2 linked regions of the Stegostoma tigrinum genome follow. The protein of the gene in region 2 purifies or fractionates together with the protein of the main gene of each other region. This does not show direct contact. Links are inferred from orthologs where the notes say so. Each region holds a gene or a part of one and is shown on either strand. Other genes may lie near its edges. The genes, in order: centriolar coiled-coil protein of 110 kDa-like and kinesin-like protein KIF24.

The links.
Region 1: the proteins of kinesin-like protein KIF24 (region 2) and centriolar coiled-coil protein of 110 kDa-like purify together in Homo sapiens (co-immunoprecipitation; 4 studies listed by BioGRID and IntAct, with this or other methods). This does not show direct contact. The link is inferred for Stegostoma tigrinum from reciprocal best matches to the Homo sapiens genes KIF24 and CCP110.

Annotation. Positions count from the first base shown.
Region 1 is NC_081376.1:55,075,376-55,091,209, reverse strand, and holds the start of centriolar coiled-coil protein of 110 kDa-like, read right to left. Parts: upstream 6,304-15,834; 5' UTR 6,239-6,303; intron 1-6,238. Other genes in the region: gde1 (glycerophosphodiester phosphodiesterase 1), read left to right, coding at 6,476-6,730, 10,953-11,128, 13,908-14,013.
Region 2 is NC_081354.1:141,151,348-141,166,406, forward strand, and holds the start of kinesin-like protein KIF24, read left to right. Parts: upstream 1-9,104; 5' UTR 9,105-9,851; intron 9,852-15,059. Other genes in the region: nudt2 (bis(5'-nucleosyl)-tetraphosphatase [asymmetrical]), read right to left, coding at 5,555-5,868, 8,947-9,076. UniProt on the Homo sapiens protein: Microtubule-dependent motor protein that acts as a negative regulator of ciliogenesis by mediating recruitment of CCP110 to mother centriole in cycling cells, leading to restrict nucleation of cilia at centrioles.

The sequences.
Region 1 (15,834 bases), on a different chromosome or scaffold from region 2:
ACCCATTGACTAGCAATTGAACTGGGCCATCCCTAAAAGTACAGTGGCTTCAAGAGCAGGATAGAGGCTGGAAATACTGCAACATGTAACTCACCTCTTGACTCCCCAAAGCCTGTCAACTATCTATGAGACAGAAGGCAGGAGTTTGATGGTTTACTCCCCTTTTGCCTGGATGGGCACAGCTGCAATAATACTCAGGAAGCTCAACATCATCCAGGAAAGAAACAGCCTTCCTTTTTTCCCTAAAAGGGCACTATAAGCAGATAATTAATGTTGGAATTTTTTTAATACCACTAAGGGAAGGCAATGATTTGTTTTGATTTAATTTATTTATTTTCAATTGTCTTTTGTTACAAAATATAGTGACAAGTGTTGTACAATGTTGCCATTTTCTGGCCATTTAAAGTTTTTGAAAAGATTTGTAGCTCGGATTGTGGATGCGGTTACATGCATGCTCGCTGAGCCGGTGGGTTTGGATGCAAATATGTAGTCACCATGCTAGGTAACATTGTATGCCTCCGGTGAAGTGTCGGTGTTCTGTCCCACTTGTTATTTATATGCCTTGCTTTGATGGGGTGGTTGGCATCACTTCTGGTTCTGTTTCTTAGTGGTTTGTACACCAGGTCTAATTCCATGTTTTTGCTAATGGAGTTCCGGATGGAATACCAGGCCTCCAGGAATTCCCTGGCATATCTCTATTTGGCTTGTGCGATTAAAGATGTGTTGTCCCAATAGAATTTTTGTCCCTCATTGTCCATGTGTAGTGAGACAAGTAGAACTGGTCATGTCTCTTGGTAGCTAATTGGTGTCCATGTGTCCCTATTGTGAGTTTTCGTCCAACAACACCTTACGATAGCTACTGACAAACGTAAAGGATCCCATACCCAAAACCAGCAAAACAGGTGTAATGTATAGAATACCAAGCAAGGACTGTGAGAAACACTACACAGGCCAAACCAGAAGAAAGCTGACAATATGGATACACAACACCAGTGGCATACTGACGATGTTAGCTAGCAGGGTGATGAAACATTTGCATCCAAACCCACCAGCTCAGCAATCATGTCCACAACCTCATTCTCTGGCTGTCTTGAAGCACAAGAAAATCTAAAACTTAGAATATAAAATCAGAAAAGTAAAGAAATAAAGTTAACTTTACAGTCCTTCCTGTTATATGTTCAAAGTAAAAGAGTCACCACTCTGTGGCGCCATTTCATCTCCCACCGATGCTGGTGCCACCCTGAATTCTTGCCAGATGTCATTAATGCCGCTGGATTCTGCACTGGCTTGAACTCAACTCCACTGCTGCTGCCAAGGGCTTTCTATGGGGCTGCCTCCATGAATTTGCACTGGACACAGTCGCCACCAACCACCAAACACACCTCTACTGGAGCAGCCATGAGCCAGCTCTGGGTCCACCTTGTCAATGCAGAAGCCACCAGGAACCCAAACTCCAATGCCTTCACCACGAGTCCACACAGGGCTCACTGCACAACCGCCGATGCCTTTATCATGACCGAGCTCTTCACAAGAGGTAATTAAAAAGGAGAAAAAAGAGCAAAGAGGGGAAAAAAGAAAAGAGAAGCAGATGTACCCCGAGCTCAGGAGCACTACTGCACCACCATCTTGCTTTGCGGTTTTGCAGTGATCTAGTGGTATTATCATTAGACTGTTAATCCTGAAACTCAGTTAATGTTCTGGAGAGATAATGGGAACTGCAGATGCCTCCCCCTCTCTCCCTATTTATTCCAGAACCCTCACCCCATCCCCCTCTCTGATGAAGGGTCTAGGCCCGAAACGTCAGCTTTTGTGCTCCTGAGATGCTGCTTGGCATGCTGTGTTCATCCAGCCTCAGATTTTGTTGTCTAATGTTCTGGAGACCGAGTTTTGAATCCTGCCTTGGCAGATTCTGGAAGTTGAATAAAATAAACATCAGGAATTGAGAGTCTCATGATGATGATGATTGTTGGGAAAAACCTATCTGGTTCACTAGTGTTTCAGGAAGGAAACTGCTATCTTTGCCTGGTCTGGCTTGCTTTATTTTATTCATTCACAGGATGATGGCATCACTGGCTGGACCAGCATTTATTGCCCATCCCTAATTGCCCAGAAGGCATTTTATGAGTAAACCACATTACTGTGGGTCTGCAATCACATGTAAACCAAACCAGATAACAACAGCAGTTTCCTTCAGTAAATGATATCAATAAACAAGATGGGTTATTCCAACAATCAACAGTGGATTCATGGTCATCATTAGACTCTTAATTCCAGAGATTTATTGAATTCAGTCTCCACCATCTGTCAGGGTGGGATTCAAACAAGATCCTCAGGACATTACCTAGGTCCCTGGATTATTAGTCGAGCAATAATACTATGACGCCATCACCTCCTACATGATGATGTGATCAATTCTTAACTTCCCGCTGTGCAATTAGGGATGGGCAATGAATGCTGGCCTAGCCCGCGACACTGAAATCATATGAATTAATGAAGAAAAGGACAAGGAAATTAAATGAACAAATTAAATAAGATACCATAGTGATTGCAGAATGGGTGATGTATTGCTACTGTAGCATGTGGTTGCTGCTGAACACCAAGTTGATCCAGGGTAAACCCATCTGGAGTAGAAGAATTTAGGTACAGAGTTGAGGGTCTGGAGCCCAAGCTGCAGATGTTATGCCATTTCGAGGAAGGGGAACATTACCTCGACACTTTGTTCCAGATGGCTGTCATATCCATGGCTGTAACCAGTGGAGAGCCAGATCAGTGCTGGGCTTGATTATTTACATTATATTAATAACTTTTTGTGTAACTGTAGTTTTGAATGTGGACTGAAATGGGAAAAGGACTGTTTTAATAATCAAAGATTGTAGAAAGGATTACAGCACTTTTTACAATGGAGTTACCTGACCTTCATTGTGAACTCTGTTTTGCCAGTGCCTTGAACAATACCGAGTGGTCCACCTCTTTTATCAAGCTGTGTAGCAGTTTAGTACAACTGAGTGGCTCTTTTGGCCATTTCAGAAGGCAGTTAAAAGTTAACCATGATTCTGTGGGTCTGGAGTCACATGTAGGCCAGACGAGGTAAGGATGGAGGACTTTTTTTCCCCTCAGGACATTAGTGAATGGGATGCGTTTTAATCAACAGTAGTTCATGGTCACCATGAGATCAAATTTTTATTCCAGATTTATTAATTGAATTCAAACTTCACTAATTGTCAAGGACAGAAAAGAATCCGTGTCCCCAGTAATTCTGCTTCTCTCACCTGAGACTTGCTAAATTTCTCCAGCATATTTTGTTCTTAGCTCCAAGAAAATTCACCTGGGGTGCTGGATTACTACTCAGTGACACTACATCTCCACCACCCCCCCCCCCTTTTAGATTGTTTTGTGACAATGCAAGATTTATTAAAGATAAGAAAACCCAAGCTTCTAATAAGTACCATGACTTAATGGGTTAGTGCTTGTAAAGCAAGCCACACTATTCCCAGAATTCTCACAAATGTGAAAAGATTTATCCAAAGTTCCCAACTTACCTGCCTGAAAAATTTGCCTTAAAGGAAAACATTTACCCTGTTTGTGTACTTAGAAGAAGAGAATTCCTACAGTGTGGAAAGAGGCCATTCAGCCCATTGAGTCAGCACCAACCCTTTGAAGGGCATCCTACCCATTCTTACTAATTCCCCATGGCTAATTCACCTAGCCTGTATATCCCACAACATCTACAAGGCAATTTGGCATTGGCAATCCACCTAACATGCACATCTGTGGACAATGAGGGGAAACCAGAGCACCCAGAGGAAGCCCACAAAGACACAGGGAGGACACGCAAACTCCACACAGACAGTTGCCCAAGGCTGGAATTGAATCCGGTCTCTAGTGCTATGTGCCACCGTGCTAACCCCAAAAAACAGCAATTAGGAAAAATAAATTGCCAAATTATTACTCCACAATTTAAACTCTATTCCTTTTTAAATACCCCCTTCACAAACAGAAATGCATACAAAGGCAGTTAAGACATGGATATTCAGGTTGGGAAAATATCAGGGAGACCTGGTTCATGAGCAGCATACTGGATCAGAGCAGTTGATGAACTGCTTTGTTTCTCGTTTTTTGTTTGCACAAAATTGTTTGCGCACCAAAGGTCTTTCATTCACTGATTGAGAATTCATCTTCAATGGGATTTGAAGACAGCTAGCTTTTACTGGATAACACAATATGGAGCTGGAAGAACACAGCAGGTCAGGCAGCATGAAAAGAGCAGGAAAGCTGATGTTTTGGATCGGGACCCTTCTTCAGAAAGGTGCTTAATTTAATTTTAATTTGGTGTCATTTTTGGCACAACATCATGGCTGAAGGGCCCATTGCTGAGCTGTACAGTTCTATGATCTACAGAAAAGGCCTTTTGGCCCATTGAGTCTGTACCAAACTAATTCCACTTTCCAATACTTGCCCCATAGTCTTTCGTATTTTAACATTTCATGCTCATCTTCAGGCTGTGAGGTTTCCTGCCTCTACTACTGTCCCAGGCAGTACATTCCGGGTTCCTATCACCCTCTCAATGAAAGAAAAGTATTTTCTCAAATGCTTTCTACACCTCCAGATGTTCAATTTAAAATTATTCATAATTGAGCCTTCAACTAAGGGGAGCTGCTGCTTTCTGTCCATACTAATCGTGTCCTTCATAATCTTATACATCTCTATCAGGCTCCCCTTAGCCTTCTCTACTCTTTAAAAAAAATAGCCTGAGCCTATCCAGCCTCACTTCATTGCAAAAATGCTGCATTCCAAATAACATCCTTGTAAATTTCCTCTGCATCCCCTCTAGTACAATCACATCCTTCCGATAGTGTTGTGACCAGAATTGCACACTGTACTCCACTCAAAGTTTTGTATAGCTTCGTCAAAATCTTTTGCTCTTATAATCTGAGCCACAATTGATAAAGGGCAACTATCCCATGTTCCTTCTTTAGAACATAAGACATAGGGTAGTTCGCCTAATTTCTGCTCCTGTTAACCTGTTCTACTGTCTTCAGAGACTTGTAGACAAGCACTGTTGTAAGCCTAAATGTCCCTTCTCCCAAACTACCTCTCCCCACCCCATTAATTTAAAGCCCAAATGATTTAATTCACTAGCAAACCGGTCCCAGCAAGGTTCAAATCAAAAACTGAGTTCTGAGGAAGGGTCACCAGATCCGAAACATTAACTCTGTTTTCTCCTTCACAGATGCTGCCAGACTTGCTGAGCTTTTCATGCAATTTTGTTTTTGTTCCTTATTTACAGAATCCACAATTCTTTCAGTTTTTAAGGTTCAAGTTCAAGCCTGTCCCCTCAGAACAGTTCCCTTCTACCTGTTACTGGTGCCAGGGTCCCACAAATTGAAACCCATTCCACACAGACCAATCTTTGATCTGTGCATGATAACAAACCAACATATCCAAAGATGTACAGATTAGCTGGATTGGACAGGCTAACTTGCCCCATATTACGTAGGGGGTGCAGTTAGTCAGTTTCCCTTAGCCGAGGGAAATGCAGGGTTGCATGAGTTGGGTGGGGAGGTGGAATGTTCGTCGGAGGGCTGTTGTGAGCTCAATTGGTCAAATGTCTGTTTCCGCACTGGAAGGATTCTATGCTGATCGTATATCCATGGAATTCATGAATCATCCTTGTAAAGCACCAATGATGGGTGAGATTGTGAATTTACTTTAAGTCATTTAATAAATGTTTTACTGTAAATAAATTATCTATAGATAAATGAAAATTATCAAATGCTATTAGAGAGAATGTTTGCCATCAGCTTGGCAAAGTTTCCGAATGGTTCTGAGCCTAACAGAGCTGACCCCTTGCACTTTCTCCAACAGACTCTCACATTACTCAACCCTCCCCATCTCTAACCCCACACACAGCCACTCCATTTTTCACAGCGACCCTCCCAAAACCCCACCCCAGCCAATAGCCCCGCCCATCTACGGCCCCGCCCCACGTACCGCCTTGTTCTGTTTTTAGCCCCGCCTTCTCACACGGTCCTGTTCCGCTATCAGCCACAGTCCCACCCCCACAAACAACACCTCTCTGCTATCAGCCCCGCCCCCCATTCAGGCCATTCCCATACTGTCAAAAATCACAGATCAGAAGATTATGGTCCAACGGATCTGTTTGAAGACAGCTTTCGGCATCAGGCTGACACCTGAAGAAGGAGCGTGTGTAAGAAAGCGTGTTTTTAAATGAACTTACTGGACTGTGACCTGGTGTTGCGTGATTTCTGACCTTATCCAACCCAGTCCAGCAACAGTTCCTCTTGTCAGCCCCGCCCCTCTCCTCTTTGTTGCAGCGTCTGACGTAAGGCTGCGTGCTGACGCCTGCCGGTGAGGGCGGTCCCTGGAGACGTGTCCATGGTGAGGAGCCGTAGCGCCATTGTGGACCAGTTGCCCGAGCTGGAGCGTCAGCGGCCGGGGGGGCGGGTGTCCGGTAATGGATGTCACGGTGGTGGCCGGATTTCTGCTCCTGTTGGCAGTGGTGGCACTGCTGGTGGTGAGTGTGTGCCACCCGGTCTACTTTCCGGTACTAGTGCTCGGCTTGTGCCTGGCCGTGCAAGCGCTCAGGTACCCGCCCGTGCCGCTCGAGGTCGCTCAGCAGGTGCTCCGTCCCAATGGCCGCCTTTCGGTAGTCGCCCATCGGGGAGGCGGCTATGATGCCCCGGAGAACACCCTGGGGGCCATCAGGAAGGTGAGTGTCCCGTTGGTCTACTGTCTGTCTCTTCTTCATCGCCCTCCAGGCTTCCTATCTTCAAACTCCCAACCGTCCCTTTGAAGCCCTCCACCCTATTCCACTTCTACAGTCCCTTCTAAAACAGCCCCTCCCCTCCCTCCATCCACCAACCCTGGCCAAAACTTACCAACTCTCAACCCCACAAAATGCAAACTTCAAAGAATTATGTACCTGAACTCCCAGGTCCCTCTTTTCTACCCAACACCCTGCCATTAATTGTATGTCCTGCCTGTGCTTTTTGTACCAAAATGCAGTACCTCGTATCTATCCAAACTAAACTCATCTACCATCTTTCCATCCATTGACCCATGCGATCAAGATTCCTTTGTAACCTTAGAAAATCTTCTTCAGTGTCTACTATGCTGTTAGTTTTGGTGCCATCCACAACCTTACCAGTCATGTCTTCTACATTTTCATACAAATCATTTACATAAATGATGAACAGAAGAGAACCCAGCTCCAAGTTTTGTGAAACACAGCTGGTGACCAGCCTCCTCTCTGAAGAGTAACCCTCTATCACCACTCTGTCCGCTGCTGTTGAATTATTCGTGTATCCAGTTGGCAAGGTCATCCTGAATCTGTGTGACCTAACTTTACCAAAAAAAAGTTACCCGTACACTCAGATCCGTCTGTATGTTAATGTTCCCAAGAGCTTTGCCATTTACAGTATAATTTATACTTAAATTTGATCCTCCAAAATGCATCACCTTCCATTTGTCTGGATTAAACTCCATCTGTCATTTCTGTGCCCAAGTCGCCACTCTATCTATACCCTTGTGTATCCTTTCACAGTTGTCGGCAATATCAGCAACAGAGGACCCAAGACCAATACACTACTAGTTACCGGTTTCCATTCTGAAAAAGCCCTTCCATTGCTATCCTCTGTCTTCTGTGACCTAGCCAGTTTTGTATCCGTCTAGCCAGCCCACCCCAAATCTCAGATAACAAGGTATAGAGCTGGATGAACACAGCAGACCAAGCAGTATTAAAGGAGCAGGAAGGCTGACATTTTGGGCCTAGAACCCACCCCAAATCCCATGTGATTTTAGTTTTTGTACCAATCTGCCATGTAGGACTTTATCAAATGCCTTAAAGTCCCAATAACCTACATCCACAACGCTTCCCTCATCGATTATATTTGTCAGTTGGTCAAAAACAAATTCATTCAGGCTGGTGAGATGTGACCTTTCCCACACAAAACCGTGCTGTCTTTAACTAGTCCACTTTCTTCCAAATGTGCATATATCTTGACCCTCCAAGACCTTCCCCACCACAGGCATCAGACTGACTGGCCTGTAATTTCCGGGATCATCCCTGGTGCCTTCCTTAAACAAGGGAAAGACATTGCCTAATCTCCAGTTCTCTGGAACCTCGCCTGTGGTCAAAGAGGATATGTAGATATCTGCTAATGGCCCAGCTATTTCTTCCCTTGCCCCTTGCACTAACCTAGAATAGATCTCATCTGCTCCTGGAGAGCTGTCTACCTCAATGCAATTTAGGATACCCAAAGCTTTCTCCTTCAATATATTGATATTCTTTAAGGTTCTTTTGAATATTTGTAGCTTGGGTTGTGGATGAGTTTGTTGGTATGCTCACCAAGCTGGCTGGTTATCGTACATACGTTTCGTCACTGTGCCAGGTAACATGATCGCAGCCTCTGATGAAGTGATGTAGTTCTACTCTGCTTGGAATATATATGATCTAGTCCATAAGTTGGGTTGTATCATTTCCAATTTGTTCTGGATTTGTATATGGGATTTAATTCCACATGTTTGTTGATTGCACTACGTGTTGAAAACCAGGCCTCTAGGAATTCCTGTGGTTGGCTTGAGCTAAGGTGGACCAGATCATATAAATGTCATACTAACCCCTGTACGATAACCAGCCAGCTCGGTGAGCATGCCATCAACTTCATCCGCAACCCAAGCTACACATCTTCACAAGAACCTTAAGAATGTCACCCAACCTGAAACATTAACTCTGATTTCTCTCCACACATGCTGCCAGACCTGCTGAGTCTGTAATAGCAATTTCTATTTTTGTACCCCATTATTACAGTCTTATTGTGCTTACATACGATCTCCCTACATATGCTTCTGAATTTCTCTCTGACTGTTGAGGTGGGGCTGTAGTACAATCCCATCAAGGTGATACTTATTTCTAATTTCAACCCATATATTTTCAGAATTTTAATATCTTCTGTAGTTACAGCAGTAATATTTAGTGTAAAAAAAATTTGGTAGATGTGTTCAACTTGTCAGACACACATCAGTTACTTCAGTTGCTTGGTGGCTAGTCTTTCCTTGCTTACGTAAACATTGAAAGCCAGTGGATGAAGAATATTTTTAGAACAGTGGAAGCTAGTTTCTTATAAAATCGTAGTGTGGAAACAGACCCTTCAGTCTACCCGATCTGTGCTGACCAGACATCCAAATCTGACCTAGTCTGATTTACCAGCATTTGGCCCATATCCCTCTTAAACTCTTCCAATCTATATACCATCCAGATGGCTTTAAATGTAGCAATTGTATCCACCTCTACCACTTCCTTTAGCAGCTCATTCTATACATGCATCACCCTCTGCATGAAAAGGTTACCTCTTCAATCCTTTGCACATCTTTGCTCTCTCACCTTAAAACTATGCCCTCTTGTTTAGGACTCCCCAAACTCTAGGAAAAAATTGATGGCTCATCACCTTATCTTGGTAAACAATATATTAAGTGGTTACCAGGATTTGACAGGAATGTGCATATAAAGTTACAACTGGGTCAACCATGATCTTAATAAATGGCAGAATTAGATTCAAGGCCTGAATGTCCAGCTGCTGCTCCTTGTTCTTCTGTATCTTTCAGTGCTGCTAATAATTGTTACAGTACTGAGGAGAAGTCTTGTTAGTAGCTCTATTGATCTGTTTTAAAGAAATATTAAAGGATCTTGAGCCTCCAAAATGTTTCAGCTTGAAACCATTTTGATTATTTTGACTCTCCACATTTACTGCTTTCTTACTCGGGAAAGCTTTTTTAAAGTTTTGTGGTTTAACCAATACCCAGCATCGCAGAGTTGCATTTCTCATCAGTTCCAATGTAAAAAAGCACCCAACAATTCTTTCCTGCAAGGAAAGAGTATCCCAAAAGTTGGCTTACAGCACAACAAAAAAATTGGTACACAAATAAAATTAACAGGTTCTTTTAACTTGTTAAATTTCCTGTAATCAGTGAAGTTTCTGGTAGGAACCTTCTGAATCTCCTTGTCTTCAGCAGGTCCTTATATGCAGTAATAATCTGCATTTATATAGTATTTTTAATATAGTTAAAACATCCCAAGGCCTTGGGGACAGAAAATGGCACCTAACCAAAGGAGGAGATGATCAGACAGATCTTTTAATGTTTGGTAACTGAAAACTTGATGTGTAATAGAATTTTAAAGAATGTCTTGAGAGACACCACCTTCAGTGGATTGCTTGGTAGAAACTTGAGAGCGCTTTGTGTACGTTATTACAACACCTTAATTCCTACAACTGTCGGTTGTTAAAACTGGCACTGAGTGTGATGTGGGTTTTCAGTTAGTTCACATCCATGCAGCTCTGGAAAATCACATCTCTTTGCCTGTGTTGATTCAGTTGATCCTAACTATCTCAGCCGTATTATTCTTTGACCTTGGATACTGAAGGGAAAAATTGCCAGAACAAGACGGCAACCAGTACTGGATATGTTTGTGCAGTTGGTGAGCAAGGAAGAGGATTGGGTTTAATTATGTAACTCATTGTTAGTTAACAACGAGAATATCAACTTCTATTTATGTTCTTTAATTTACACAAACAAAGCCCCAAGATATGTTCTGGATTATGGAGTTGTTATCAGAGAAAATGTACACTGAGCCAGAGCAAAGACAATAAAAGGACTGGCCATGAGATGGATTTAAATAAAATGAAAAAAATTTCTACAGTTCCGTTTAAAATATTTTCGGGTAAGTTACTAGAATGCTTAGTCTATACTCAAGTCACTGCATTATATCCTCTGTTCTATCAGGAGAATAATCAATATTATCGAGCTTTTTTCATGACAGTCTAAGTTAAATCAGCATTATGTAGTGCCAGCGTTACAGTGAGGTGTTCTGTCAAGCTACAGTGCACATAAGCTGATGAATCCTTTGAGACGTCCTGTTCTCGCTCCTCATTTAGGCTGCTGAAAATAACGCTACTGGTGTGGAGCTGGATCTCGAGTTCACTTCAGATGGTTTCCCTATTCTGATGCACGATCGTACTGTGGACCGCACAACTGATGGTATCGGTTCTCTTGATCACTTAACTTTCGAAGATGTCCGAAAACTTAACCCGGCAGCCAAGCACAGACTGCAGTATGTAATCAGAATGTATCCCATGCTGATTATAGTAGTAAAACAACCTTTTCAAATTTTTTGCGATGGAATCTCAAATTGATAAGAATTAGACCACATTTTTCAGTGTATTGTTATTTCAGAAGTGTTGCAGCCCTGTGGTTCCCCTGTTCAAGAAGGGGAGTAGAGACAACCCTGGTAATTATAGACCAGTGAGCCTTACCTCAGTTGTTGGTAAGGTGTTGGAAAAGGTTATAAGGGATAGGATTTATAATCATCTAGAAAAGAATAAATTGATTAGGGATAGTCAGCACGGTTTTGTGAAGGGAAGGTCTTGCCTCACAAACCTTATTGAGTTCTTTGAGAAGGTGACCAAACAGGTAGATGAGAGTAAAGCGGTTGATGTGGTGTATATGGATTTCAGCAAGGCGCTCGATAAGGTTCCCCACAATAGGCTATTGTACAAAATGCGGAGGAATGGAATTGTGGGAGATATAGCAGTTTGGATCGGAAAGTGGCTTGCTGAAAGAAGACAGAGGGTGATAGTTGATGGGAAATGTTCACCCTGGAGACCAGTTACTAGTGGTGTACCGCAAGGGTCGGTGTTGGGTCCACTGCTGTTTGTCATTTTTATAAATGACCTGGATGAGGGCGTAGAAGGATGGGTTAGTAAATTAGCAGATGACACTAAGGTCGGTGGAGTTGTGGATAGTGACGAAGGATGCTGTAGTTTGCAGAGAGACATAGATAAGCTGCAGAGCTGGGCTGAGAGGTGGCAAATGGAGTTTAATGTGGACAAGTGTGAGGTGATGCACTTTGGTAGGAGTAACCAGAAGGCAAAGTACAGGGCTGATGGTAAGATTCTTAGCAGTGCAGCTGAGCAGAGAGATCTCGGTGTCCATGTACACAGCTCCTTGAAAGTTGCCACCCAGGTTGTAGGGCTGTTAAGAAGGCATACAGTGTTTTAGCTTTTATTAATAGAGGGATCAAGTTCCGGAACCAAGAGGTTATGGTGAAGCTGTACAAAACTCTGGTGCGGCCGCCCTTGGAGTATTGTGTTTAGTTCTGGTCACCGCATTATAAGAAGGATGTGGAAGCTTTGGAAAGGGTGCAGAGGAGATTTACTAGGATGTTGGCTGGTATGGAGGGAAGGTCTTACGAGGAAAGGCTGAGGGACTTGAGGCTGTTTTCATTAGAGAGAAGAAGGTTGTGAGGTGTCTTAATTGAAACATATAAAATAATCAGAGGATTAGATAGGGTGGATAGGGAGAGCCTTTTTCCGAGGATGGTGACGGTGAGCACGAGGGGGCATAGCTTTAAGTTGAGGGGTGAAAGATATAGGACAGATGTCAGAGGTAGTTTCTTTACTCAGAGAGTAGTAAGGGAATGGAACGCTTTGCCTGCAACGGTAGTAGATTCACCAACTTTAGGTACATTTAAGTCGTCATTGGACAAGCATGTGGACGTACATGGAATAGTTTAGGTTAGATGGGCTTGAGATCGGTATGACAGGTCGGCACAGCATCGAGGGCCGAAGGGCCTGTACTGTGCTGTAATGTTCTATATGTTCAGCCAGCTATGCTTTGAAAACTGCACTGGCATTTTGTGCAACCTGATCAATTCCTTCTTTTGGGTTCTAACTTTATTCTTTGCAGTACCTTTGAATTGTAATACCTTGGAGAACTACAGTAGGGCATATGGTTATCAATTTTTTTTTCTGGACTCATTCAGTCGCAGTCTGATAACGATGTGGTTGATTGCAATACAATCAGTATCTACTTTGCAATGGCTCCATTATCTTATAGGTCCAAAGGTATCTTCTCACTTTCCAGATAAGGGCTGTGTGAGAACATCTTAATAAGGTTTTCATTCACGTAATGGGTTTGACATTGTGTGCCGCATAGTTCCGTGAAATTTAGATACGTCTTAAATGCCATCCAGGATCCTTTGAGCACTCTGGGAACCTCCGAAGACTGACTTCAGAGCACTGTGCTACAGCTAAGTCGCAACGCATTTAAAATGTGGTTGACAGATGAAACTGTCTCAATCTACTCATTGCATTACAAAAACATCCAGAAAGAACATTTTACATTTCTGGAAGAAACCTTTCAACATATGATAGAGCCTAATTTGTGTGTCTCTGTTTCTTGCCTCTTCTATGGTTGTCTTATGTGAAAATATATAATACTTGTATTCCGGTTTGCTGCTCAGCTGTATGGCTAACTATAATGTGCTGTATGAATAGACCAGATAATTGGTCTGTGAGAAACAGCAGAGATTTTTATTTCTAATTAATTTTTGAACCAAGTAGTTTAAAAAACCCAAAGAGCTGTAGATGCTGTAAAGCAGAAATTGCTGGAAAAACTCAGCAGGTCTAGCAGCATCTGTGGAGAGGAATCGGAGTTAACGTTTTGAGTCTGAGGAATCGTCACTCGACTGGAAATGTTAACTCTGATTTCTCTCCACAGGAGCTCCCATGTCTGCTGAGCTTTTCTAACAATTTCTGTTTTTGCTTCTGATTTAGAAATAACCTTGATATTCATCAATTAATTTTAACTGTTTTTCATTGTTTCTTGTTCATACGTTTCATTGTTCAGTTGTGCAGGAAACTACAATCGTACAATGTTTAAAACTCATTGTAAATATTTATGCTGTTTTCATAAACATTTTCATTTTAAAACAATGTAATTTGTTTTTTTAATTTTTACAATTCAGTTTTTGTAATTGAACTTAATTAATTTCAATATTTATTTCTTAAACCCTCAATATCTAATATGATTTGCATTTCTGTTCTATGTAGCAAATACTTTCCAAATGAGAAAGTCCCAACCTTGGAGGAAGCTATTGTTGAAAGTCTCAAAGGCAATATGACCATTTACTTTGATGTCAAAGGTCATGCAATGCAGGTACAATATATTTTTTGATTCATGTAAAATACAAACATGGTTTTGAGTGAACAATCCATTTGAATCTGTGAGGAGCAATGCCAGTTTGATTTAAGATGATGTTGTCCTTGTTAATGCCAATATTAATCATATTCTGGAGCACCACAAAGTAAATAAGTCCTAACTGAATATGTTTTTGAGTGGATGTTGATGGAGTAATTTAAAAGACCACTAATGTTGTGCAGAACTGCTTTGAGGAATATTTTTACCTTGAAGTGTTTTGCAACAAAGATGTGACATGCAATTCTCATAGTCACGTGTATAATTTTAAAAAATGAATTATTCTCTTCAAGTTTTGCATGACATTGACACTTTCTGTTAAATGCGTTTCACTTCACCCAAATATTCTGAAACGTTCAGTCAGCTTTTCTTCCACTTTTCTCTTCAAGGTCATCTATTAGATATCTTACTTTTATTTATTCGTGGACTATGGATATTGCATGAACGACTGCAGTCTCTTTGTTTCGATCTCTAGTCAACAGGTGCTCCTGGTTTCTGGATCAATTATACCACAACCTTCCACTGCATTTGCTTGACTGGCCAATTCCATATGATGAACTGATATCAGAACTGATATACCTGGTTATACCTGGGAAAGGCTCAGAGAGGAGCGCTGAAAGTGACCTAATGGAGATTGTAACATTATGAAAGAATTATTGGAGTAAATAGAAGGAAATGGTTTATTTATGGAAAAGTCCAAAACTAAAAGGCGGCACGGCGGCTCAGTGGCTAGCACCACAGCCTCTCAACGCCAGGGACACGGGTTCAATTCCAGTCTCGGGTAACTGTCTGTGCGGAGTTTGCACATTCTCCCCGTGTCTGCGTGGGTTTCCTCTGGGCGCTCTGGTTTCCTCCCACAGTCCAAAGATGTGCAAGCTAGGTGGATTGGCTGTGCTAAATTGCCCGTAGTGTTCATGGGTGTGTGGGTTATAGGAGGATGGGTCTGGGTGGGATGCTCCAAAGGGTGGTGTGAACTTGTTGGGCTGAAGGGCCTGTTTCCACAGTGTAGGGAATCTAATCTAAGGGTTATTTATAGAAGGCATTCATGATTAAATCCAGTGAGAAATTTTTGAGACACCGCATTATCCCAAGGATATGGTACTCCTTATTATAAGGAGTTGTTTAGGTGATACCTTAGTCACGTTTAAACTGATGACAAGCACACGGAAGAGTGAGAGAGAAATAGAGGAAGATGTGGATAAGTTTTAGTGAAGCTGGCTGATGTGGACTTAAGTGCCAACAAAGCCTATTTGGATGGGATGACAAATTGCTATGCTCATCTGCAGGCTTCCCATCCCTTGCACCTTCATTTCCAGAATTTCCATTATTTTCCTCCCCCTCTCTCTCTCTCCTCTTTTCTCCCCCTCTCTCTCCTCTTTTCTCCCCCCCCCCCCTCTCTCTCTCTCTCTCTCTCTCCTCTTTTCTCCCTCTCCCTCTCCCCCTCTCTCTGCCTCTCCCCCCCCCGCCCCCGCCCCCACTTCTCTCTCCACCTTTTGTGTTGTACCTCAGTGAAATAATTTGTGTTAGCTTCTGTAAGCAGAGGTTCTGCTGTACTTCTGTCAATCTTGTGAATGCTTGTCTGGCATCAAATTAAGAATGACTCAGATTTCTCAAACTGAACAGCTCAAAATTAAAAACAGGAAGTGTCAAATCCAGTATGACGTTTTTTTTAAACTGAAGAGAAGAGTAAAACATTGGATTTCATACTGTTGAGAAAGATGGAGACGAGCAAGTGGAACAGGGAAGATCAGGGAATGGTTAGAGGGTGAGGGAGATCCTAGA
Region 2 (15,059 bases):
TGGCAGAGATCATAACATGATTAAATTTAATTTCAATTTGTGGGAGAGAGGAACAGGTCCAAGACCATATTTTAAAATTTAAATAAGAGCAATTATGAGGGCATGAAAGCAAGCTGACTAAAGCAACTTGGCAATTGAGGTTAAAGGATCAGTTAACAGAGATTCAGTGGAAGATATTTAAGGGGATATTTCAGAATGTACAGAATAGATAAAATCCAGAAATTAGGAAAATTCCAAAGGACAAACCCACGCCTGCAATTTTCTAGACATGTTCAAGATTGTAAAAACTTTAAAGAAGAAGTATGTAGTTGTACCAAGATAGGTGGCAGGTCAGAAGATTATTCAGAATGTAAAAATAAAGATGACCAAAAAAATTGAGAGAACAAATTAGAGTACAAGAGAAGGCTAGCCAGAAATATAAAATCAGGCAGTAAGATTTGGATGGGACAGGAGAGTTGGTAAAGAATAGACAATAGGTGCTGGAGTAGGCCATTCAGCCCTTTGAGCCGGCACCACCATTCATTATGATCATGGGTGATCATCCACAATCAGTATCCCGTTCCTGCCTTATCCCCATAACCCTTGATTCCACTAGAAGTAGCAAATGGAATATGGAATATAATGTGGGAAAGTGTGAAGTCAAATGCTTTGGTGGGAAAATAGAGGCATAGACTATTTTCTAAATGGGGAAGAGCTTTGGAAATCTGCAGCACAAAAGATTCTCTTAAGGTTAACATGCAGGTTCAATTATTAAGGCAATTGCAATAATTTTGAGAAAGCTAGAATACAGGAGCAGGATATACTGCTGAGGCAGTATAAGGTTACTGTTAGGCCACATTTGGAATATTGTGAGCAGTCTGGACCCTGAATCTATGGAAGGATATTCTGGCCTGAGAGGGATGTACGGGAAGTTTACAAGAATGATCCAGGGTGTGAAGGCCCTGTCATAAGAGCAGTTGAAGACTCTGGGTCTATATTTGACAGAGTTTCAAAGGATGGGGAGGATCTGTTTAAAACTTAAATTTAAAATTTACCATTGCATCATGGCTGATATCTTTCTCAACCCCATTCTCCTACCTTCCACCCAAAACCTTTGATTCTCTTACTAATCAAGAACCCATCTATCTCTGTCTCAAATATACTCAGTGACTCGCATCCACAGCCTTCTGCAGTAATGAATTCTGCAGATTCACTATCCTCTGCTGAAGAAATTTCTCCTCATCTCGCTTCTAAAGCGTTTCCTTTCACTTTGTGGTTGTATCCTCCTAGTCTCTCCTACTAGTGGAAACATCTCCACGTCCACTTTATCCAGGCCTCTCAGCATTCTGTAAATTTTAAACAGATTCTCCCCATCCTTTTAAACTCTGTCAAATACAGACCCAGAGTCTTCAACTGCTCTTCTTATGACAGGGCCGTCACACCCTGGATCATTCTTGTAAACTTCCCGTACATCCCTCTAAGGCCAGAATATCCTTCCATAGATTCAGGGCCTGGACTGCTCACAATATTCCAAATGTGGCCTAACAGTAGCCTTACACTGCCTCAGCAGTATATCCTGCTCCTATATTCTAGTTTTCTCAAAAGTATTCTAATTGCCTTACTAATTGAACCTGCATGTTAACCTTAAGAGAATCTTTTGTACTGCAGATTTCCAAACCTCTTCCCCATTTAGACTCAATAGGCCAAATGGTATAATTCCATTTCTTATCTTATGGTCCAAAAGAAAGTCAGACTGAAGAAATATTACTTTAAAATAAGGTTGATAATTTGAGTGGGTATTTTGCAAGTGATCACTACAGCGTTTATAAGTAACATTCTGGAAGCAGTGGTAAAACATGAAATGGGAGGGAGCAATTCAAGAAAATCACCACCAAAGAAATTTGCAGTCCGACCCCACCACCAAAGAAATCAGCAATCCAACCCCACCAGCAAAGAATCTGCAATTCGACCCCACCACCAAAGAAATCAGCAATCCAACCCCACCAGCAAAGAATCTGCGATTCGACCCCACCACCAAAGAAATCAGCAATCCAACCCCACCAGCAAAGAATCTGCGATTCGACCCCACCACCAAAGGCATTTTTCCCTCCTCACCCCTGTCTGCTTTGCGGAGGGACCACTCTCTCCGTGACTCCCTTGTCCACTTCACACTCCCCTCCAGCCCCACCACACCTGACACTTTTCCCTACAACCACAGGAAGTGCTACACCTGCCCTTACACCTCCCCCCTCACCCACATCCCAGGCCCCAAAAAGACTTTCCACATCAAGCAGATGTTCACCTGCACATCTGCCAATGTGGTATACTGCATCCGCTGTACCCAGTGTGGCCTCCTGTGCATGGAGAAACCAAGCGGAGGCTTGAGGACCGCTTTGCAGAACACCTCCGCTCGGTTCGCAATAAACAACTGCACCTCCCAGTCGTGAACCATTTCAACTCTCCCTCCCATTCTTTAGACGACATGTCCATCGTGGGCCTCCTGCAGTGCCACAACGATGCCACCCGAAGGCTGCACGAACAGCAACTCATATTCTGCTTGGGAACCCTACAGCCCAATGGTATCAATGTGGATTTCACAAGCTTCAAAATCTCCCCTTCCCCCACTGCATCCCAAAACCAGTCCAGTTCTTCCCCACCTCCCTAACCTGTCCTTCCTCCCACCTCAAACCACACCCCCATTTCCTACCCACTAACCTTATCCCGCCCCCTTGGCCTGTCCGTCCTCCCTGGGCTGACCTTTTCCCTTCCCTACCTCCCCACCTACACTCACCTTTACTGGGTCCAACCCTGCCTCTTTGACTTGTCTGTCTCCCCTCCACCTATCTTCTCCTCTATCCATCTTCGCTGTGCCTCCCCCTCTTCCCCTCCCCCATTTCTGATGAAGGGTCTAGGCCTTTCCTGAAACATCAGCTTTCCTGCCCTAAGATGCTGCTTGGCCTGCTGTATTCATCCAGCTCCAAAACTGTTATCATAAAACAAGTGGTACTAAGTATTTGGTGCTATGGACTGACAATTGCCTCGGTCCTGATGGATTTTATTGCAGTGTTTTAAAAGGAGTGGATAGTGAGATAATTGATGCATTGGTTCCAACTTTCCAAAGCTCCCTTGATTCAGGGATGGTCCCAATAGATTTGGAAGGTATAAAATGTAACTCCTACATTTAAAAAGGGAGAGTGAAAGTAGGACACCAAAGGCCAGTTAGCTTAACATCTGTTAAATGGAAGCTGTTAGAGGCAATAATTAAGAACATCATAACATAGATAGATAGAGTTGATAGCCAGAGACTATTTCCCAGGGCAGAAAAGGCTAACACGAGGGGTCATAGTTTTAAGCTGGTTGGAGGAGAGGATGTCAGAGGCAGGTTCTTTACACAGAGAGTTGTGAGACCATGGAATGCGTTGCCAGCAGCAGTTGTGGAAGCAAGGTCATTGGGGTCATTTAAGAGACTGCTGGACATGCATATGGTCACAGAAATTTGAGGGTGCATACATGAGGATCAATGGTCGGCACAACATTGTGGGCTGAAGGGCCTGTTCTGTGCTGTACTGTTCTATGTTCTAAGAGAGCACTTTGACCAAGTTAAGGCAATCAGGCAGAGTCAACAGTTTTATGAAAAGGAAATCATATCTACTGGAGATTTTTGAGGAGGTAACAAATGCTGTGGGTAAAGGGGAACTGCTGGGTGTATTGCACTTAGATTTCCAGAAGGCATTTGTTAAAGATGTCACATCAAAGATTATCAGAGAAAATGAAACCTCATGGTGTCGAAGGTAGCATATTCATTTCCATATAAAATTGGCTGGGTAAAAGGAAGCAGAGAGTACACGCGATAGATCTTTTCTTGTGTTGGTAAGATGTAATTAGAGGCGTGACGAGTTCAGTGCTAGGATCTCAACTGTTTACGATTTATAAAAATGGCTTTGCTGAAGGGACAGAAGTACAATTGTCAATTCTGACATAGGGAATAGGTAGGAAAGTACATTGTAAAGAAGACACAAGGTGATTACAAAAAGATACTGCTACATTGTGAGTGGACAAAGGTGTGGCAAAAGGCATATAATTTGGAAAATGTGAAGTTGCCCATTTTTTAGGAAGAATAAAAAAAGGATATAATCTAAATGGTAAGAGATTGCACAGCTCAACGATACACAGATTGGGGAGCCCCCATACATGAACGGCAAAAAGTTAGAATGCAGGCACAGCAAATTAGGAAAGCTAATTGAATGTTATCATTTATCACGAGATCTGGAAACTAAAGCTGTGACATTGAAAGAACGATGGTGAAAACATGGAGTACTGCGCACAGTAATCCATTTAAAGATTTAAATGCATTGGAGGAATTAATATCTGGAACAGGTGAATTGTTTTATGAGGAAAGGGTGGACGGGTTAGTCATGTATCTGCTCGAGTTTAGAGTAACAAGTGATTAGTTAAAACAACTAAATCTTGAGGCGTACTGATAGATTTGGAAAGGGTGTTCCTGCTTTTGGGAAAACTTAGAACGGAGAGGTGGGTGTGAGCAGATCATCAATGTTTAAATAAAACTTAGGGGTCATCCATTTAAAAGGGACTGGGTAAAATGTTTGTCTCTCAGTCACAAGTCTTGGTACTCTCTTGCTGAAAAACATGGTGGGAAACTGAGTTCTTGAAAATTTTTAAGGCAAATGTTGACAGATTCTTATTAAAGGGTTGAAAAATTTATCAGGGTCAGCAGGAATGTGGATCTGAGATTACAATCAGACAATCCAAGATCTTATTGATTGGACTCAAAATGCTGAATGTCCCACTCCTGATCATACGTTTGTATGATTTTCTCTCCAAACACTGCCAGACTTAGTGAATATTTCCAGCAGTTTGTTTTTATTGTATGCCCCCGAATAACCTGAAGTGCTACACAGCCAAAGAAGTTTTGTTATTTTAAGTAAAGTTAGCTGCCAAGGACCAGCAAGGTTCTCAAAACAGAAATAAGATGACTAATCAGTTCATCTGTTTTTGGTGGCATTCAGGGAATGCTGCCCTATTGGAAATGCTATATTTCAGACAAGGATGCTAAATGGAGTCTTCATCTGTCATTTTAGGACGAAGTGTCAAACTCGATGATCTGATTCAAGGACAAGCATGGTAGCACTCTGTGCTGTCCATTAGAGTCATCAGAACTGAGTATCCAAGTTAGCTTACTGTCAATTATGGAATCATTCTGAAGGAAACACAGCATGGCAAGTTTCATAATGTAATAACATCCAATACACTTCAAATGCAATTAATCGGTTAGAACATGCTGAGTTTAATGAATGGTATATAAATACAAATTAGTTCTGCCTTCCATCACCAAACTAGGGTTCTGGGTGAGGGTTAGGATTTGGAAGGGTGTGTGAAACAAAGGCCAGACATGCTTCCTTTTTGCTGCCTACTAATATTTAAGATGCAGGCTCTCACATGAAGGACCAATGGTGACATGTGAACAGTTGTATTGAGTATTGTCATTTCAAGAGCAAAGTAGAGGAGACGCCTTCAACAATTTTAACAATCCAGCTCATTTGCAAAGAACCTGGTCTTATTTGTTTGATGAGATGAACTGCTGAGCTTCTCTCAGTGCTTCCTGCATTTCTTGATATTTTGCAACTTCACAGGCCTCATCCACATTTAACCAGCGAAATGACTGGTGCTCATTAGAGAGTTTTATTTCTGTATTATAGTTCTTTAGTTCTGCCAGCCAATAGATAACAGTTTTGGGTTTATTATTCACTTTGTATATCATTTCCTTTTTGTATCCATCAAGCAGATTAAAATCTTTTCTTCTTAGCCCTGCTTCTTCCTCAGTTTCACGAAGTGCAGTTTGAAGGTCATCTTCACCTGGATCAACATGCCCTTAAAAAACAAGATTAGACATTAAGCAAGCAGGCAGTGAATAACTGGGCCGAACATAATTATTAAAGTTTCACTTAAGTTTACCACTGCAAAGAACTCTGACTGACGGATTTGTTTCCTTTTAACAGCAAGTACCAAAACACAACCTCAGAGTGACAATTATGTTGGGCACGATCTGTCCAGGTAATTGAAGTTACATATTCAGGATACACACTTAAAGTGCAGTGCCCAGCACAATACTCCAACTAGGGTCTAACCAGTATTTTGTAATGGGTCAGCATAACTTTCACGCTTTTGTATTCTGTCACAACTTAGAAAGCACAGAGTCTTATTAGCCCCAACAGCCTCAATCTGACCTGTCATCAAATCCAAGGAGCTTAATTATACGAGGTGCCAGATTCCCCACCATCACAGCTCAAAGGTTGGGTGAATAGGGGAAGGAGCTCACTGAGGGGGGAATTAAAAAAAGGTGAGATTTCTGTTTCACTGCTATCAGCCAGAAACTCTCTAGAACTTTGGGAACAAAGGTGGTGGTGCACTTATAGGAATTGGGATGAGTTTGGGGGATTTCATCTGGTACAAAGCTGGTAGAAGACTCTGGAGAGTGGGGTGGAGGATCAGGAGTTTGTACCAATAGGGATGGGAAAAGAAACCCAGGTTGGTGTAAGTCTCTTAGCAGGCACTCCAAAAACCAATAAGAAGGAGCTGCCACACCAACAGCCCACAGAAGGTAACCTACTGGACTTCCCAGGGACAGGTCTCTCCAGGTGCCAGTTAAATCCTGGTGACAGCAGGATAAGACCCAAATAACAACTAATTTCCAATGAGAGTCTTGATTAGCCCAGGTAAACTGCCCAATGTCAACCATAACATCAGTACAGTTTGGAGTGGAGGTATGGGTAAATGAGTAGATGGCAGGCAAGCCAACTGCAGAGACAAACTGTCACATGTTCTGCCTTTGAACGCATCGGCAAAGAAACTAAAATCCAGCCTCCAGTCTTTGGTCCCATAGCCACTTAAAAAAATTTACTTTACAATGCTTCTCCTATTTCTTCATCAAAAAGGACCATTTTAAGCATTAAATTTCACTTGCCTCAAATCTTCAAGTTTCTGTTTCTCCACATCTCTCTGTTCATTTCATTTACAAATTACATATCATGGCTTCAAAGCACTTTAGGGTGTCTAGTGGTCATGAAAAGTGCTGAATAAATGCATATCTTTGTCTGTAAAGTTTGAAATCATCCCAGTAACCAATTTGAAGTCATTAAAAGTATATGACATTGAATCATTTCAATATGAGAATTATATTTATCAATAAATCTATTACCATTACACACTGGAATCTGGCATGCACGTGTTTTTCAGGGACTATTTTTAGAGCAGTCTTTCCAATCATATTGTAAGTGACTTCAGAGAAGGTTGTGGCACAATGGTAATGTCGCTAGACCAGTAATCCAGTAAATCACAAATTTGAATTCAATAAAATAATGGAATAAAAACTAGCACAAAGGCAGCTGTGTAACTATTGCTGATTATCATAAAGACCCATTTGGTTCCATCCCTTTAGGATGGAAATCTGCACGTGACTCCAGATCCAGACCCAGACATGACTCAATCGTCTTCCGAACAACTGGAGATGAACAATAAATGTTGGCCTAGTTGGTGACATCCCTCCTATGAACAAATTAAAGAAATACATAGATTTAAATGAGTTATGAATATCAAATACACCCTCATTTAAGTCGATGGTGAGTATGAAAATCTCTTTACACTCAGGAATTGTGGAAGTAGTTCGGATGACTAATGGTTGCGGCCAAGACTATGCTCCAGATTTTCTAATCAGCAATGAAGGAACAGCTTTCACCATAAACCACAGGCACTGTCAGGCTTGTCAGCAGAGACATCCTGTTATTGGGGTGTTCAGCTGAGCTATCACCCTTTACTGGATATCATTGGCATTTGTCAGTAAGACATGATGTGGAGGTACCAGTGTTGAACTGGGGTGGACAAGGTCAGAAATCACATGACACCAGATTATAGTCCAACAGGTTTATTTGAACTCACAAGCTTTCAGAAGCAGAGCCTGACGACAAAGGGGCAATGCTCCAAAAGCTTGTGTTTTTAAATAAAGGTGTTGGACAATAATCTGGTGTTGTGTGATTTCCGACCTCGTCAATGAGACAAGCAGCAGATTGGCTCTTCAACCAGATTAAAAGAATCAAATTGAGCCACAGACTGTGAAAACCAGAAACAAAATACATTTCTGAATCACTGCACAAGCAGCAAAATAAAATTGGGATGTTTAAACTGGATTATTGAAACAACAGAAAACATTTATAAAAAAACTTTTACTTCTTTAAAGATCAGTAACACTAATTTTCTTCCCAGAATGAGGCCTCAGATTTAGAATTGGTTTTCAAAACAAGACACTGGCCAGCAGTAACTATTTTTACTCTACTCATTGCTAATTGTAAAAAGTATGTGTTTTAATTTATTTTCAGCATGAGAACAGTTGGCAATTCACATAATGTATACTTTAACAACTACTGGAGATTCTAACCATCATAATTAGCAGTGGGGAAAAGATATCAATGACAACAACTTTCAAATTCACATGATGAATCGTGCATGAAGGACAGAAATTGCAGTTAGATCTACACAGAAGTAGCAGGTAAATAATGGGTGCCTCCTATACCCCTAATACCAGTGATATAGAGTTGAGGAAAAACTTCTTTACCCAGAGAGTGGCGAATATATGGAATGCTCTGCCCCAGAAGGCAGTGGAGGCCAACTCTGTGGATACTTTCAAGAAAGAGATAGATAGAGCTCTTAAAGATAGTGGAATCAAGGGTTATGGGGATAAAGGCAGGAACAGGATACTGATTGTGGATGATCAGCCATGACCATAATGAATCGTGGTGATGGCTCGAAGGGCCGAATGGCCTACTCCAGCACCTATTCATCCAGCCTCACATTTTATTATCTCCTCTACTCCAACACATATTGTCTATAGGCAGCCCATCCCTCGCCCAAAGCCAGCACAGAACAGGCAACATCCTCTCTGCTCGAATGAAGCACCTTTAGGAGGCGTCCAGTGATGCTGTCCATAGGAAGTCTGCAAAAGTAGGAACTCGATGTCCTGAGGCTTAGCAGCTAATCCGGTGTTTAACCTCCTGAAAATAATCAGTCCACAGGCCCTCAGTGTCATGGCCGGAGACAGGAAGAGACACCAACCGAAAACCGGAAGCTCATCCGCGAGACCAATTAGCGGCGACAGTCTCACATAATCAATTCACCAATTAATTCAGCTGAAACGGAATCGGAGATTCGCATCTAAAAGCGTTGGGTGTTCTCTCTGCAGATGGACGCTGTAACTAGCGTTTTTACGATTCTCTCTCATTAATCGACTATCAGTTCAAAGCTTTTACTAAAGGTCTCTTGCTGAATGGGTGGTAATTTCTTGTAAAGTGACGGGATCTTGTGATAACAATGTGTAGAGCTGGATGACCACGAGAAGCATCTGAGGAGCAGGAAAGCTGACTTTTCGGGCCTAGGCCCTTTTCGGCCCGAAACGTCAGTTTTTCCTGCTCCTAAGATGCTGCTTGGCCTGCTGTGTTTATCCAGCTCGACCGCCTTGTTATCTTGGATTCTCCAGCATCTGCAGTTCCCACTATCTCGAGGATCTTGCGATAGGTCAACGCTTCTGTGCTTCCCTGATTGGTCGAACGGTTGTATAGCGGATGTACAATCATCTTTTGTCCCCTGGCCAATTACCGTAGGTTCTTATAGGTCAGAGCCAGATACCTGGTGGTGATTGGTTTCTGGATGATCACCGGGCCGCCGACACCGGGCACGGATTGGTCAGGGCCGTGCGCGGGGCCGCAGCGCGCGCTGCGCGAGGCGGCTTTCAAACGGCCGGCGGCGTTGCCATGGATCCGAATGGCGCTGTTGTTACGGCAGAATGAGTGGGAGCTGCAAAGTTGGTAAGTGGATTGCCCCAATAAAAGCAATAAGTTCAACATCAGCAACTGTCTATATTTATGTCGTATAATAGTAGTAATGTTATTAAAAATAATGGGGGTGGTAGCGTTAATGGAAAGATGTTATCAAAAGTACGTACATGGATGATGCCGGAAACTGTAGGTGTACGCGCAGGAGTGGACAATTGGCTCTCATTTACTTTGAGAAAAGATGCCCGAGAGGTGTCCCAGTGATAATGGGAACTGCAGATGCTGGAGAATCCAAGATAACAAAGTGTGGAGCTGGATGAGCACAGCAGGCCAAGCAGCATCTCAGGAGCACAAAAGCTGACGTTTCGGGCCTAGACCCTTCATCAGAGAGGGCGATGGGGAGAGGGAACTGGAATAAATAGGGAGAGAGGGGGAGGCGGACCGAAGATGGAGAGTAAAGAAGATAGGTGGAGAGGAGAGTGGAGGTAGGGAGGGGATAGGTCAGTCCAGGGAAGATGGACAGGTCAAAGAGGCGGGATGAGGTGGTAGGTAGGAAATGGAGGTGCGGCTTGAGGTGGGAGGAAGGGATGGGTGAGAGGAAGAACAGGTTAGGGAAGCTGGTTTTGGGATGAGTTTCTGTTCAGATGGCAGTTCACTCTCACACTGATTTTCAAATGCCCTCTTTTTTTATACCTTTGACCTATTAATTTCTTATAATAAAATTGCTTCTAGGTTGTCAAAGCCATCAGATTTAAATTTAATTATATTTTGGTCTCTAGAGCCTGATTTAAATTAATTGGCTAACTTCAAAAACCTGTTGCCTTGGTAAAAATGCTGCTTTGCCTGCTAACAGTATAGCTTTTTGACACAATATTTCAGTTTCAAGAACTCTGTCTGCCGACAATAAAGCCTAAAAAGACATCATCTTTTAAAGGGACCACACACTCTTTTCCCCTCATCATTGTCCAAGCAAATACTAATGTCCTGCCTTCGAGTCCACAAATACTATACCCAACTTAGCAACATTGTCATTACAAGATAGCAAGTAAAAGTCCAGCAATGAATTCTGAAGAAACTTATTTTACCAAAATATTGGTGAGAGTGTGGAACTCAGTGCCATGGGGAGTGTTTGAAATAAATAGTGTAGCGGCAATTAAAAATAAGCTCGATAAGCATTTGAAGGAGAAGGGAATATAAAGTTGCTGTAGTCATAGATGAGGAAGATGGAAGCAGATTCAAGTGGCTTACAAGCAGTGACTTGATTGGTTGAGTGGAATAGCCTGTTTCTGTCAAACTGTCCTACGTAGATGATTTGATAATATTCTTTAGGGAAGAAAATCTATGGTCCTTACTTAGCCTGGCCTATGCAGCCTTCCTGCGGGACACAGGGTGGTCGATGATGTAATATTAGGTAATGAAGCTTGGCAAAAAGGGTGAGGTATGGGGGAGGTGCAGGTGCATTTTTCAGACAATGATTATAACTTTATTAGCTTCAAACTCCTGCTGGAAAATGACAAGGATGTGCCTGAAATCAAAACTCTAAATTGGGAAAGGCTGATTTTCATAAGATCAGATATGATTTCACCAAAGGTAAATGGAAGAACAGTGGGACACATTCAAGAAGGAAACAGGAACAGTACAAGGCAAATGTGTTCCAATAAAGATAGAGGGTGGAGCCAACACATCCAGTGAACCCTGAATGTCGAGGCATACCCTGGAAAGAATTTAGAGAAAAAGGCAGGCTTATTGCATGTACTCAGGGCTCAAAACAGCAGAACCCATAGAGGAATATAAATGGGAAGTTGAAATTTGAGGAAAGAAATTAGGAGAATAAAAAAGGTGTAGGAAAAGATAATGGCAGATAAAATAATCAAAAATCTTGAATTATTTTCTGTGACTCTATCTGGACATTTTGGTAAGCATGGACCTGTTTGGGCCAAAGGGCCCTGCTGGAGGAATCTGACTGCAACAGTAAGGATGAAAGGTTAACAACCACAGTGGTAATTTTGAGAGTGGAAATGGAAGGTATAGGTAACGTTCGACATGAATACTTTGTGTCAGTGTTCATTATTCAGCTGGACTACCTGGGTATAGAAATCAAGGAGAAGGGCTGTGATACAATTAAAGAAATTAGCATAGACAAAGAGGAAGGTTTGAGTGTCCTGACAGGCCTAAAAGTATGTAAATCACTTGGGCTGGATGAAATGTATTCAGCTGTTGAGTGAGACAAGGGAGGAAATAGTGTGGATGCTCGCATTATGTTCAATTCCTCTCTGGCCAGAAGAGAGGTGTCAGTTAACTGGATGACAGCCAGTTATTCAAGGAGGGTAGGGGAAGGTAAATAGGAAACCACAGCTGTCATTCCAACCTCCATGGTCGGGAAAATATTGGAAGCAATTCTGAAGGACAGAATGGAGACACAGGGATTAATTAATAATGGTCAGTGTCGTTTTATTAAGGGGACCTCTGACCAACTTGATTGTTTTCATTTCTTGAAGAGATGTCCAGGTGTGTAGATGAGAGCAATGTATTTGGCACAGTCAACCTGAACTTTTGCAAGACTTTTAATAAGGTCCCACATGGGAGAGACTGATAGCAAAAGTGAGAGTTCATTGTATCCAAGGAAAGTTGTCAAATCGGATCCAGAATTGGCTCAGTGGCAGGAAGCAGAGATTGATGGTCTAAGGGTGTTTCTTGACTGGAAGCCTGTGTCCAGTAAGATCCTACAGGAATCAGCCTTTGCTATTTTACATATAAATGATTTTGCTTTAATGTAGGAGGGTTAATCAATAATTTCAGGGATGATGTGAAAATTGATGCAGTGATAAATAATGAGGGGGATAACCTTCAAGTACAGGAGGATTTAGATATCCTGGTTAGACGGACCGATCCGGCAAATGGAATTAAATCCAGATAGGTGTGAGGTGTTGCACTTAGGCAGGTCAACATGGTAAGGAAATACCTGATGAACAGAAGGACCTTGGGGAAACCTGAAGACACAGGGGTCTTGGTGTACATATTCACCAGCCCCTTAAGATAGCAGGACAGATAGATAAGGTGGTTAAGAAGGCTTATTGATACTTGCCTTTATGAGCCGAAGCATGGCATTCAAGAGCAGGGAGGTTATGCTGGAACTGTATGAAATGTTGATTAGGCCAAAGCTGAAGTATTGTATGCAATTCTGGAATCTACATTAATGGATGGATGTGATACCGCTGGAGAGAATACAGAGGAGATTTACTAAAATGTCATCCGGGCTGGAGTGTTTTAGTTATGAAGAGAATAGATGGTATAGGCAGAAGAAACTCTTTGATTCAGTGGAGGATTCAATGACCATGGGACATAGGTTTAAGGCAGGAAGTTTAGAGGGAGTATGAGGAAACATATTCACCCAGAGGTAGTGGGAATCTGGAACTTATTGTCTGTCAGGGTGGTAGAGGCAGAAACCTTCTTAACGTTTAAGAAATATTCAGATGTGCACCTGCGATGCCAAAGCATACAAGGTGATGGGCTAATTGCTGGAAAATGGTCTTGAAATAGATCAGTGCTGTTTTTGACCAGTGCAGAGTTGATGTGCTGCAGGACCTTTATCTGTGCTATAGATCTCTGTGACATGTGGTCAACTTTTAACTGCCCTCTGTAATGGTCGAGCAAGCGACTCAGTTCAAGGGCAGTTAGGCACATGCAATAAATGTTACAATGAAGTAAAATCAAAAAATTCTGGGATTTAAATTGAAGTTTATGTTGAAACTAGTATTTTATGTAAGTCAATTCACTGTATCTGTGGATGCTTGAGGGAGGAATGACTCAGTAATATTAATGGAATTGCAAAAGTCAGTTAGTAGTGTCATTGCCAACTTCTCATGTTTATTGGTTCTGATTATTAAAATCATACAATATTAATGACTTAGTGCTGCATTTCAGTCTTGAGCAAAGTTATAGCTCATGGAAAGAAATAGACAGTAGCAACATAGATGCAAATCTGTCAGAATGACAGGAAACATTAGGAGTTAATGGGTGATTTTTGGACTAGAATAAGATATGTACTAGAGTTCCCCATGGGCCTGTTTGGACCCTTAAACTTTGTGATTTGTTAATGACATAGATTTTGGTGGAAATGGCACAATTTCAACAGTTGTGGGTGACAAAAAACTGGGAAGCATTGTGAACTATTGATAAAGTATACAGTATCCTTCGGTATAGTAATAGAGGTATGAAGTACAAGAAGCCCAACATTATGTTAAACTTGTATGAAATGCTATTTTGATGTCAACTAGAGTGTTCTATCCAAAGCTGACTGGCCTTTGTTTTCTTGCTTTCTGTCTCCCTTTTTGAATAAAGGAATTACATTTTCTATTTTCCAATCTCTTGGAGCCATCCTTGAATCAGAGCTCTGGAAAATTAGAACTAATGCATCAATTATCTCACAAGCCACTTTTCCTTTTTAAAAAAACACACTATGATAAAGTCCATCAGGCCCTGGGTAATTGTCAGTCTGTAGCTTCAACTATTCAGCACCACTTCTCTTGTGATTATGATTTTCCTGAGTTGCTTTTTCCCTTCCATTTCATGATTTTTACTTCAACTAGGATGTTATTTGTAAGCTCTGTAGTGAAGACTGTTGCAAAATAGCCACTCAAATCCTTAGCCATTTCCCTATTTTTGCAGTAATATTTCTTCAGTCTGACTTTATATAGCGTCATACGACCATAAGACATAGGAGCAAAATTAGGCCATTTGGCCCATCATGCCTCCGATGCTATGAGATCATGGCTGATAAATTTCTCAATCCCATTCTTCTGCCTTTTCAATAATCAAGAACCTGTCTTTCTCTGTCTTAAATTAAGTGATTTGGGCCTCCACAGACTTCTGTCACAATGAATTCCACAGGTTCACCACTGTCTAGTTGAAGAAATTCCCATTACTTTATTGACAGAAAGAGGCTTATAATGTTGCCAGAAAGAGAAGGATATCTGAGCTGTGGGTATTTTAGAATTCAGCAGAGAAAACCATGTTATTGATCATTTATGTTTGATCCTTCATTATTTAAACTACCAAGGGGCACTAAAAAGTTAATATACTTATAAGTCAGTTGGAGGCAGAGACTGAGAAATTATAATGGAGATTTTGAAATTGTGACAGATAATAAAATTCTCCAATAGCCTGGATTTTGCAGAGGTAATGATGATGTGTTCATGTTTGTTACTCCTCAGGAGTCCATACACACATAGTCAAATATCA